2 linked regions of the Canis lupus familiaris genome follow. The protein of the gene in region 1 purifies or fractionates together with the protein of each later gene. This does not show direct contact. Links are inferred from orthologs where the notes say so. Each region holds a gene or a part of one and is shown in the gene's direction. Other genes may lie near its edges.

Region 1 (5,346 bases):
CTCTCCCTCCTGCCTCCCTCCAACCCCCACTCATGCTCACTCTCTTGCTTTCTCTCAAATAGATAAAACCTTAAAAAGACGGGGGGGCAGCCCTGGTGGCTCAGCGGTTTAGTGCCTGCCTGCCTTCCACCCAGGGCGTGATCCTGGAGACCTGGGATCGAGTCCCACATCAGGCTCCCTGCATGGAGCCTGCTTCTCCCTCTGCCTGTGTCTCTCTCTCTCTATCTATCTATCTATCTCTCATGAATAAATAAAATCTTAACAAAAAAGAAGTCTTTAAAAAAAAAAGAATGACCCATTGAACCTGGCATAGTTAAGAATTAAGTCCAAAATTTTGGCCTTAAAAAAAATCCTCAGGGGGCACCTGGGTGACTCAGTCGTTTGAGTGGCTTACTTTGGATTTCCACTCCGGTCATGATCTCAGAGTCCTAGGATTGAGCCCTACATCAGGCTCCCTCCTCAGTGCAGAATCTGCTTTATGATTCTGTCTGCCTCTCCCTCTGTTCCTCCCCCCCACCCTCCCAACCCCCCACCTCCACCCCCCAGTCTGTCTGTCTCAAATAAATCTTTAAAAAAAAAAGAAAGAAAGGCAGCCCAGGTGGCTCAGCAGTTTAGCACCGCTTCAGCCTGCGATGCGATCCTGGAGACGCGGGATCAAGTCCCACGTCGGGCTCCCTGCATGGAGCCTGCTTCTCCTCTGCCTGTGTCTCTGCCCCTCTCTCTCTGTGTCTCTCATGAATAAATAAAATTTTTAAGAAAAAAGAAAATATTAAAAAAAAAAAAAAAGAAAACCATCAGTTATAGTCCTAGGAACTTCTGTCTCTCTCACACACACACACACACACACACATACACACACATACACTTGCCTACTCAGAATCAATCAGGAGCACATCTTCAAGGGTCCTTAGGCTTAGTAACCTGCTTTATCCTTGCATAATAGAAGGAACATATGTTTTCAACTTAAACATTGGCATTGTTAGGTATCTGGAGCATGATGGATTTGCCGCTTAATTTGAAATTCAATATTTTAATGTCTAAAGCTAAGAGAAAAGAGTAATATAGGAATAGTAGTCTTCAGGTCAATTTACATATTATTATTAGCACAATACCAGTTTATTCTTTTCAAGGTAAATAGCAAAAATTTTCTAGCAAAAGTATTTTTAAACGGACTTCTTTGATAAAAATAAATACATAACTAGACTTAACAGAATATGTGGTTTTGTGTGGATGTGTCATATTTTTCTTCTACCATACTTTTCCCTGGCTCCCCACCTGTTATTTCTGATTTCATGAGAAGAAAATGCTGAGCCAGACCTGGATGACAATGAGGATGAGGAAGAACCTGCTGTGGAAATTGAACCCGAGCCAGAGCCTCAGCCTGTGACCCCAGCCCCACCACCTGCCAAGAAGCGGAGAGGACGCCCTCCTGGCAGAACCAACCAGCCCAAACAGAACCAGCGTAAGTTACTTGTCTCAGCTCAGTAGGCTGGAGGCTGGCACCCTCCCCCCAACATGTTGGAGGAGCTGGCCCAGGCCCTTGTTTTGGGGGATGATGGGAACTAAGCCTTGAGAACAAGTTAAGAACACCAGGAACAAACTGTTAGGAACTTACTATTTAGTTTTTACTGGAAACCACGTGAGGAAGACCCAGGGAGCCTATTCTGCTTCAGGGAGAAGTAGTCCAGAGTAGAAGGGTACTCCTGTTCTACAAGATGGGTACTTTTAATGTGGGAGGGTTTTTGCAAAACAATCAAAGTCCTATCCCCGCTGGCAGAAGTGATATGGTAATAAACGCAAAAAAGCCTAATTTTAAAGGAAGAAGGATAAAGCAATTTCTGTGCTATGATCCATTCTCCTAAGAATTACAGGCCTGTGGATTCAAGTGCTGGCCTTTTGATTTGGGAGAGGACACAGACAGTAGAGGTGTTTCTCACCACCTCACACTACAAATGGCAGTGGGCAGCAGTCTTGTATTGGCCTCGACCTTTGTGACAGCAGGCCCTGGGGCACTCGGGTCTGTGTTCTGCTCCTTGTTGCTGTGGATATCCTGAAAGCCGGCAGCGTTTTTCTTTAACAAATGCATGATTTAATCTAGTTTTTATTGTACTCCCGGAGTCTCATGTGTAGATAGATGTCTATTGCAGGGGAGCAGGGGGTTGGTTGACTATAGACTCTTGGAGCCATTTCACCTGCACACACCAGAATGAAATACTGGTGGAGGGCTCTGGGTGTGGGAGGCTTCAGGATCTGAGATGGCTATTCTTGCTATAGGCGGTTCATCTCTAACAGCCCTGCGCCACACACATGGTGAGGTATTCTTAGTCACATGCTTTCGGCGTCTTTTGCCTATCTCATACTAGTGCAAAGCTCAATTTTATGACATTAAGTAAAACTAATAAGGCCTTTAATATGGAATTTGGGAGGCATGTGAAGATGAATGTCAGCATTTAGTTTTTTGATAGTTTCTACCGTTTTGGGGCTTTATGAATGGCAGTATTTTCGATCATTACGTCGTTTTTTACTTGCTCTGCTGCTAAGACTTTCCTACACTGCTGACATTCATTTAGTTTCGAGTTTGACAGGACCCTTGCAATCTACAGGGGCTTTAATGGAGCATTTGTTTTGTTCATGCTCTTTCTTGCCAGCAACAGCCATCATCCAAGTGGAAGATCAGAATACAGGTGCAATTGAGAACATTATAGTTGAAGTCAAAAAAGAGCCAGATGCAGAGCCCGTAGAGGGGGAGGAAGAGGAGGCTCAACCAGCTGCCACAGACGCCCCCAACGGAGACCTCACGCCCGAGATGATCCTCAGCATGATGGACCGGTGATGGCGGGGCCTTGCTCATCGCCAAGACTGCTCTGGGCTGTGTTTAAACGGCCCGCATCTTAATTTTTCTCCCTTCTTTCTTCTTTTGGCTTTGGGAAAAGCATCATTTTACACCATTTTACCAAACATACTGCGAACTAAAACTTCAAGGATGATGTTAGAAAAATGTGATTTTACTAGAACTTGCTGTTTGATGTTAGCAAATCATGGAATGTTCTGAGTCCCCAAGGGTTTACTATGAAGTGCTGAGGACAGTCTTGATGCCTAACTGGTTTTCTTAGATGGAAACAGAGACATTGAACCCTCTCTCTTGCTATGGTAAACCACTCCAGAATGGCCACCGGGTTTCCCAGAGTTCTAGGTCTTCTTCCCAGGAGAGTTTTTAATTGTAAATGCAGACTGGGAAGGACTTACACTTTTAAACTGATTTTTGCTTCTGCTTCTCCCTGACTCCCTTTGCTCGGAGCCAGCTGCACACCAGTAGTACGGCATGCTGCAGTCGGTGTCTGTCCTGAAGGCTTTGCCTCTTTCTTGGCAAAGTTTCTGGTATGGTCAAGCTTGTAAATAACTTTTTTTACATTTTAATCTTTTCCATTAATTAAGAGGTTGAAAAGAAGTGCAGTGTAAGAAAACCCAGCATTTTAATTACTTGCAAATTAAGTTACCACAGACTCTGTAGTGTGTAAATGTTGACAAGGAATTGGATCACAATCATGTAGCAGAATGGCACCCAGACTGCTGCCCGCTAGTGATGGACACCCACGTGGAAGATCGTGATTTCCAGCCCATGGAGCCAGCATTTGAACCTTGTACAATTAACTTTCAGTTATGATTTCCCATCTACATTTTCTTTGCTCTGTTTGTAGCTGAATTTTGTGTTTTATGACTCCTCTGTTCAAGCAGAAGGGTGATTATGAGTGGGTCACAGCAGCCCTTAAAAGCTGGGCCAGAAAATTTCACTAGGTCAGTAATTTAAACTTTGGATCTGCAAAAAAAATAAAAATAATAAACAATAATAATGTGAAACAAAACCAACTAAAAAATGATTCTTGCACATGAACTGTCACATGTTTGAAATGTGTTTTTTAGAGAGCCTCAGTCTTGCTGATTTCAAACACTTTTTTCTTCTGTGTATTGCTTTTAAAAGAGCCATCAGTTAGCTATCAGACTCTAGGTTGATGCATTTTGTACTTAGCTGTACTGTGTGATATTTTTCATTATTTTAGGACGCCAACATGAGACCTGTAATAAAATATGTAATGGGGTTGAAAGCTGGGGAGGAGGATCTACTGCTGTACAGCTAATAAATCATAACGGATTAACAAGTGCTCCAGACACTCCGTCACGTGTGATCTATGCTTAATGGGGGCCCCAGAGGGTCCGCATGGCCTCGGGTGCAGGCCTGGTCGCCTTTCAGAGGCACACTCTGTTCTCAGAGGCCACTTCCTCTCGAGACAGCACTTGGAAGATGATCTTGGCAAATGGTGGGATTATTGAGTGAATCCTGTTGTGGGTTTCTAACTCCCCAAAGGGGTGAGTAGCAAGTGTGGATGAACGACTGCTCGCCCCGTGATCCGCCTTAGGAGTGGTCCCTGCGGCAGAAGGGTGACCAGAGGTTAGAGATGCAGGGGCTCGTGGGAAGTTCTGTCCTCTGAGGCTCAGTTCAGTGCAGTCTGAGATCTGTACGTTGAATTCTGCCAAGTGCAGGATGACAGGCGGGGCCCAGTTTGCCTCAGAGAAGCTCCTGTGGGAGGGAGGCCAGTGAGTCCGCGAGCTGCAGGGACAGAGCCCTAGACCGCAGAGCTTGTTCAGAGCCCTGCAGGGGCAGGTGCAAGGGAGTGGGAATAGGAAGTTGACGTGTTAGTGAAACACCTGCTGCTGCTGCTGCTGCTGCTGCTGCTGCTGCTGGCCATTTCTGGACAGAGAGCTTCGGCAAACCCATTTTAGGTAAAAGCTTCAGCCACTAATTCTAGGGCTTTTTGACCAGAATTCTGAATTGGTGGTTTCCAGTGTGAAGTAACAAAAGATAAGGTATGTGTGACCACTTGGCTGCTTGTCCTGTCCACGTAATCCCGTCTCCCAGGAAAACAGGTAACGAGGCCTCAAGACTCAGAACCTGGCAGTCCGCTATTTGGACCGAGTGTTAGTGGCCTGACGCTGAGTGTGGGGTTCTTTGTCTCACGCATGGGCCAGCCCCTTTGGAGGCCAGAGTTCCCCCCCCTACCGTGTTTTGGTGGATGTATATAATTTGCTTAATTTTTTTGGTGTTTATAATCTCCAAGGAACAGTAAGTTCTTTATCTCTTATCTTCAGCATAGCTTTTTGTTGTTAAGATTTTATTTATTCATGAGAGACTCATGAAAGGGGGGTAGAGACGTAGGCAGAGGGAGAAGCAGTCTCCCCTTAGGGAGCCTTATGTGGGAGTCTGATCCCAGGATCCCGGACTCACAACCTGAGCCAAAGGCAGATGCTCAACCACGGAGCCACCCAGGTGACCCCCCAGCATAGCTTTTT
Region 2 (5,562 bases), on another chromosome or scaffold:
CAGGGTGGGAGGGGCCTTATGCACCCGAAGGAGGCTAAGGAACATGTTCAGAATTCAGGGTGTCCGAATGGAGGTAGCGTGGGGCGTCCAGCAGGAGGCTATCTCTGCCTAGTGCCTACCTTCAGGGGCCCCGTATGTACCAGACCCCACAGAGGGGACAGGTGGGGTCAAAAACAAGAATCCGACGAGGCTCTTGGACCTCAAGAAGTCCCGGGACCCAAAGAATCAGCAGGCAGAGGAAGCATGGGACTCCTGGGAGCTGAGCCTTCTCCCACTCTTTGCCTGTGCCGTGGGGCGGCCCGTGCGGCTGCATGAGAGGCATGGAGTGGATGGTCCTTCCTGCACTGTGCACCACCTCCAGATGTGGGTGCTCTACAGGGGGCAGCAGGGCAGTACCCTGCACTTCTCCTAGTGCCTCTGCACCATTGGGGCTCTCTGGGAACGAAGCCAGACGGGGACCCCGACACTACCACAGATCAAGGTGCACTGGGGGTTGGCGCGGGGGGGGGCAACATAAAGCCACTGTTCCTTGAGCCCCGTGTTGGCGAGGCCGGAGATCCCGAGGTATGTCAGGCAGGGCTCCCGCCCCCGAAGAGGGCCGCGACCACAGAAAAGAAACTTCCATAAGTTTAAGGGGTGCCACAGCGGGCACACTGGACGGGGAGGGCCGGGAGAGGCCAACAGGTAGGACCCTCTGAAGGAACCAACAACTTCCCCATGCAAATCTCTTCTCCTGCAAACGACTCGCCCTTAGAGGTAATCTACGCCCTCCCGGGGTGACAGTCGGCGAAAAGATTCCGTCCCGCGGGAATCTCTCTAGATTCTAAAGCGTTTGAGAGGGATCCCTGTGTGGCGCAGCGGTTTAGCGCCTGCCTTTGGCCCAGGGCGCGATCCTGGAGACCCAGGATCAAATCCCACGTCAGGCGCGATCCTGGAGACCCAGGATCAAATCCCACGTCAGGCTCCCGGTGTATGGAGCCTGCTTCTCCCTCTGCCTGTGTCTCTGCCTCTCTCTCTCTCACTGTGTGCCTATCATAAATAAATAAAAAAAAAAAAAATAAAAAAAAAAATAAAGCGTTTGAGAGCATCGCGGGGAGGGCAACCCGAGAGGTCAGCGGGGATTAGCCACGGAATTCCGAATGTGGCCGATAAAAGCCGAGTGTTTCCGAACAGACCCGAAAGGGCTTGCGCCAATAAGAGAAGGCGGTAAGCCCGCGAAAGAGCCTTTCCGGAGAGTTCCGAAAATGCCCGATCGGGCCTCCGTGCCTCCATCGGAAATAGCCGAGAGCTTACGAAGAAGACCGGAAGTATCCAAAGACCCTGGAGCTAGCCTTAAGTAATTCACGGATTCTCACGTTTATTCATAAAATGAATGTTTATTGAGTGCCTATCCTGTGCTCAGCGCTGGTGAGCAATCCTGGAGAGAAACCCTTGTGGAAAGGGACTTCGGGCCTCTCGAACTGGACCCACTCGGAAATCCAGCGCTGGAGTTCCGAAAACACACGAAGGACCCTCGGAACAGTGGCGCTCAGGCTCCGAGAACACGCCCTCGGGTCACCAGCCGAAGAAGTCCGGAACTCTCCGAACGGTTGGCGACGAGGCGGCGCAAGTGGCCGAACGTTACCGAGCCGCCTCGGAGGCGGAAGGGAGGAGGCGGGGACAGGCGAGGGCAAGCGCGTGCCCACAGAGGAAGCGGAAATGCGTTTGGAATTAAAGGCGTCGCCGGGTCTTCTACTTGCCTCTTTCCGTCTCTCGCTGCCGTAAGGAAAGGAGGTGAGCGCGCGGTCCTCCGTCTTCCCGCGTGGTTGCGACGCTTGCCCGCGGCCTCTGCCGGCCCTTGCCTGGCCTCTGGCGCTGCGCCCCCCCGTCCCCACCGCCGGAGCTCGCCGCGGCATCTCGTGTTCTCCCCTCGTCCCGGGCCCAGCCCCGGCCCGCGGCTCGCCTCTGACGCCCTCCCCTGCTCTCTCTCCCCGCAGCAGCCGCCATGTCCGCTCACCTGCAGTGGATGGTCGTGCGGAACTGCTCCAGCTTCCTGATCAAGAGGAACAAGCAGACGTACAGCACGGTAAGCGGGGCGCCCGGGCGCGGGGAGGCAACCGCCGCCATCGCCGGGGTCCTTCCCGCCTCACGGCCTCGCTGCGCCCCCTTCCCTTCCCAGGAGCCCAACAACCTGAAAGCTCGCAACTCCTTCCGCTACAACGGTCTGATTCACCGCAAGACTGTGGGCGTGGAGCCGGCGGCCGACGGCAAGGGTGTGGTGGTGGTCCTGAAGCGGAGATCAGGTGAGCCCCCGGCGGGGCGGGGCTGGGATCGGGCGGCGGTCCACCCCAGGGGGAGGGGTGCTCAGGGGCTGGACGGCGCGACCTAGCGCGGCAAAGTGCTTGAAGCAGGCTAGGTATCCGTGCAGCGCTGCAGTAGTTTGACCCCTCAGCCGCCGAGTGCATTCGGAGACGTCCCGAGCGTCCCACTCCTACTGGACAGGCTTTTCGTGTGACAGAGGGTCAGGGGGACTGGAGAGCTTCAGAGGCAGGTGTTGTGTAGACCAGAGGCATCACAGTTCCTCACCTTTGTTCTTTGCTGGGTGGTTTTTTGGTTAAGATTTTACGTCTTCTATTTATTTATTTTTAAAAGCATTATTCACGAGAGAAGGGCAGAGATATATAGAGGGAGAAGCAGGCTCCCTGTTGGGGGGCGCCGATATGGCACTCGATCCCAGGACCCTGGGATCACAACCTGAGCCAAAGGCAAATGTTCATCTAGAGTCAGCCTGGCATCCCTTTGCTGGGGTATTTTAAAAGATGGGAGCAAGGTTTTTCCTGAACTCTGTTGAGGGCTGTTTTCTGTTTGGGTTTGGAGCCTACTGCCCAGGGCAGGGACAGCAGTGGCTGTGGCATGCTGGTTCTTGATTGGACTCCTGCCCACCCTGAAGGGGGGTTACTCTTTCTCAGCCCACCAGTGAGCATCCAGGGTTCTTGTTGTGCTCCTGAGAACCCCATGCTGCTGCTCTGTGCCCTGAAGCCCTCACTTCCCTGTCAGGTTGTTGGGTGGTCTCTTCCGGACTATCAGAAACTGGCATTGTTTTTTAAAGATTTTATGTATTCACGAGACACTGAGAGGCAGAGACATAGGCAGAGGGAGAAGCAGGCTCTGTGCAGGGAACCCAATGCAGGAGTCCATCCCAGGATCACGCTCTGAACCACTGAGCCACCCAGGTGCCCCAGGAACTGGCATTGTTTAAAGTCACTGGTGTGGTGAAGGGTCCTTGGTTTCTTGGGCAACACCTTCCACATCTGTTGTTTGGGGCATAGGACACTCCCCAAGACCTCGTTGACTGCTCTACTTTAGATCCTGACAGAGGCCCTCAGCTCTGCACACAAGGAAGGGGTGCTTTCCTCTGAACCACAGGCAGTGGGGTCCAGACTCCACCTGTGGATGGGCAGGCAGGTGCTTGCTGCAGGGCTCTTGCTCACCCTGGCCTCATCTTGTGACTCAGCTTGATTGGAGCTTCAGTCTCACAGGTACTTGCGAACCTGACCAGCGTGGGGTGAGCATCTTCCTGCCCTAGAGTCAGGCAGGCAGGTGGCCTGTGTGCCAGTGACCTTGGACAAGAGTGTTTTGCTTTCCTCTCCCCCCTCCCTTTTTATTTTTTATTTCTTTTTTTTTTTTTTTTAAGATTTTATTTATTTATTCATAGAGAGGCAGAGACACAGGCAGAGGGAGAAGCAGGCTCCATGCAGAGAGCCTGACGTGGGACTCGATCCAGGGTCTCCAGATCACGCCCTGGGCTGCAGGCGGCGCTAAACCGCTGCGCCACCAGGGCTGCCCTATTTTTTATTTCTTAAAGATTTTATTTATTCATGATAGACATAGAAAGAGAGGGGGAGGGCAGGGACACAGGGGAAGGAGAAGCAGGCTGCATGCTGGGAGCCCAATGTGGGACTCCATCCTGGGGCTCCAGGATCATGCCCTGGGCCAAAGGCAGGCGCTAAACCACTGAGCCACCCAGGGATTCCCGCCCCCTCCCTTTTTTTTAAATTTAAATTTTTTTTTTAAGATTTTGTTTGTTTATTCATGAGAGAGGCAGAGACATAGGTGGAGGGAGAATCAGGTTTCCCCACAGGGAGCCCAATGTGGGATTTGATCCTGAAATTCCAGGATCATGATCTGAACAGAAGGCAGACGCTCCACCGCTGAGCCACCCAGGCTGCTTTGAAGTGACTTTATGAACTTGTGTCAGGGACACAGAAGAGTGAACTGGTACAAGGCTGGGTGGACAGGGCTGGCTGTGGGGCGCTCAGGTCCCCCATGTACCACTGCACCATCACACTGACCCCTGCTGCTGCCACCCCATCCCCTGCCCCAGGCCAGCGGAAACCCGCTACCTCCTATGTGCGAACTACCATCAACAAGAATGCCCGGGCCACCCTCAGTAGCATCAGGCACATGATCCGCAAGAATAAGTACCGTCCGGATCTGCGCATGGTAAGCAGGGCTTCTGACCAGTGGGGCTGGAGCTGCTCTCAGGAAGCGGTGTGGGAATGTGTGCTGAGCCTTTTCTTTGTCCTTCCAGGCTGCCATTCGCAGAGCCAGTGCTATCCTGCGCAGTCAGAAGCCTGTGATGGTGAAGAGGAAGCGGGCCCGCCCCACCAAGAGCTCCTGAGCACTTGCCCCTGTACCCAGAGCAATAAAGATGTTAACCATCTGGCTTGGGCCTCCCTTCGCTGTGGCCCTGGGGCTCTGCCCCTATGCATTCATGTGGGTGCTGCCTGTCCCAGCGTGGTCCCCCACCCGTGTTACCATATGATTCACACTGTTGGGGCTGGAGGGGTCAGGTCTAGGTTGGGGGAGCTCTGTCCCACCATTTCTGCCCCCAGGACTGGGCGTGGTCCACGTTCTTATGTTGAACACGTCAGAGGTGTTCATGCACGTCTGTTCATGCAGCAGATTAGTGCATGTGACCAGGTAAAGTCCACTGCAGTCCTCACAGTCCTAGGTCTTCAACAACACTTGACAGCTCAAGAAAGACCATTTAGAGCCTGACACTAAGGGCTGAGGATCCAGGCCAATGGTCAGCCTACTTCCTGTTGGTGTCAGGGTACCATCTAGGACTTCAAGGCCTGGGCTGTGGGCCCCTGACGGCAGGAAGCAGGGCAGGAGCATATTCACCTCTCCCTGTGTGAAGTGGAAGCTGTGGGTCTTGGGCATAGGTGCAGCTTCAGGGTCCTCACAGTCCCTGGGCTGCCCATGGCTGCAAGTGACATTAAACTACCTGTCCCTTGCCAGGAACCTGGGCAGCCACCCATTGCACCCCCTGCTAGACAGAGTGTGAGCACCCCTGCTTTTGGCCCCAGTCACACTAGCCCATCAGGATAGGCCTCCCCAGGCTACCCTTGTCTCTCATCCTGAGGGGCCACAATGAGTTCTCCAGTTCTGCTTGCTTCCCTCCCACTGTTCTAGAACTACTGGTGATGGCTCCTGGGGAAGGACTCATAGACTACCCCCACCCCATCCTGCCCTCGCCTCAGCCTCTAGCTGTGTACCTGTGGGCAAGTGAGGACCTCT

What was found. Proteins that work in one complex are often made in the same cells at the same time.
Region 2: the proteins of CTCF (region 1) and RPL28 purify together in Homo sapiens (affinity purification with mass spectrometry; 3 studies listed by BioGRID and IntAct, with this or other methods). This does not show direct contact. The link is inferred for Canis lupus familiaris from reciprocal best matches to the Homo sapiens genes CTCF and RPL28.

The regions. Positions count from the first base shown.
Region 1 is NC_049226.1:82,392,852-82,398,197, reverse strand, and holds the end of CTCF (transcriptional repressor CTCF), read left to right. Parts: intron 1-1,297; coding exon 1,298-1,462; intron 1,463-2,648; coding exon 2,649-2,833; 3' UTR 2,834-4,169; downstream 4,170-5,346.
Region 2 is NC_049222.1:103,066,749-103,072,310, reverse strand, and holds RPL28 (60S ribosomal protein L28), read left to right. Parts: upstream 1-1,700; 5' UTR 1,701-1,773; intron 1,774-1,976; 5' UTR 1,977-1,984; coding exon 1,985-2,065; intron 2,066-2,158; coding exon 2,159-2,282; intron 2,283-4,363; coding exon 4,364-4,482; intron 4,483-4,570; coding exon 4,571-4,660; 3' UTR 4,661-4,705; downstream 4,706-5,562.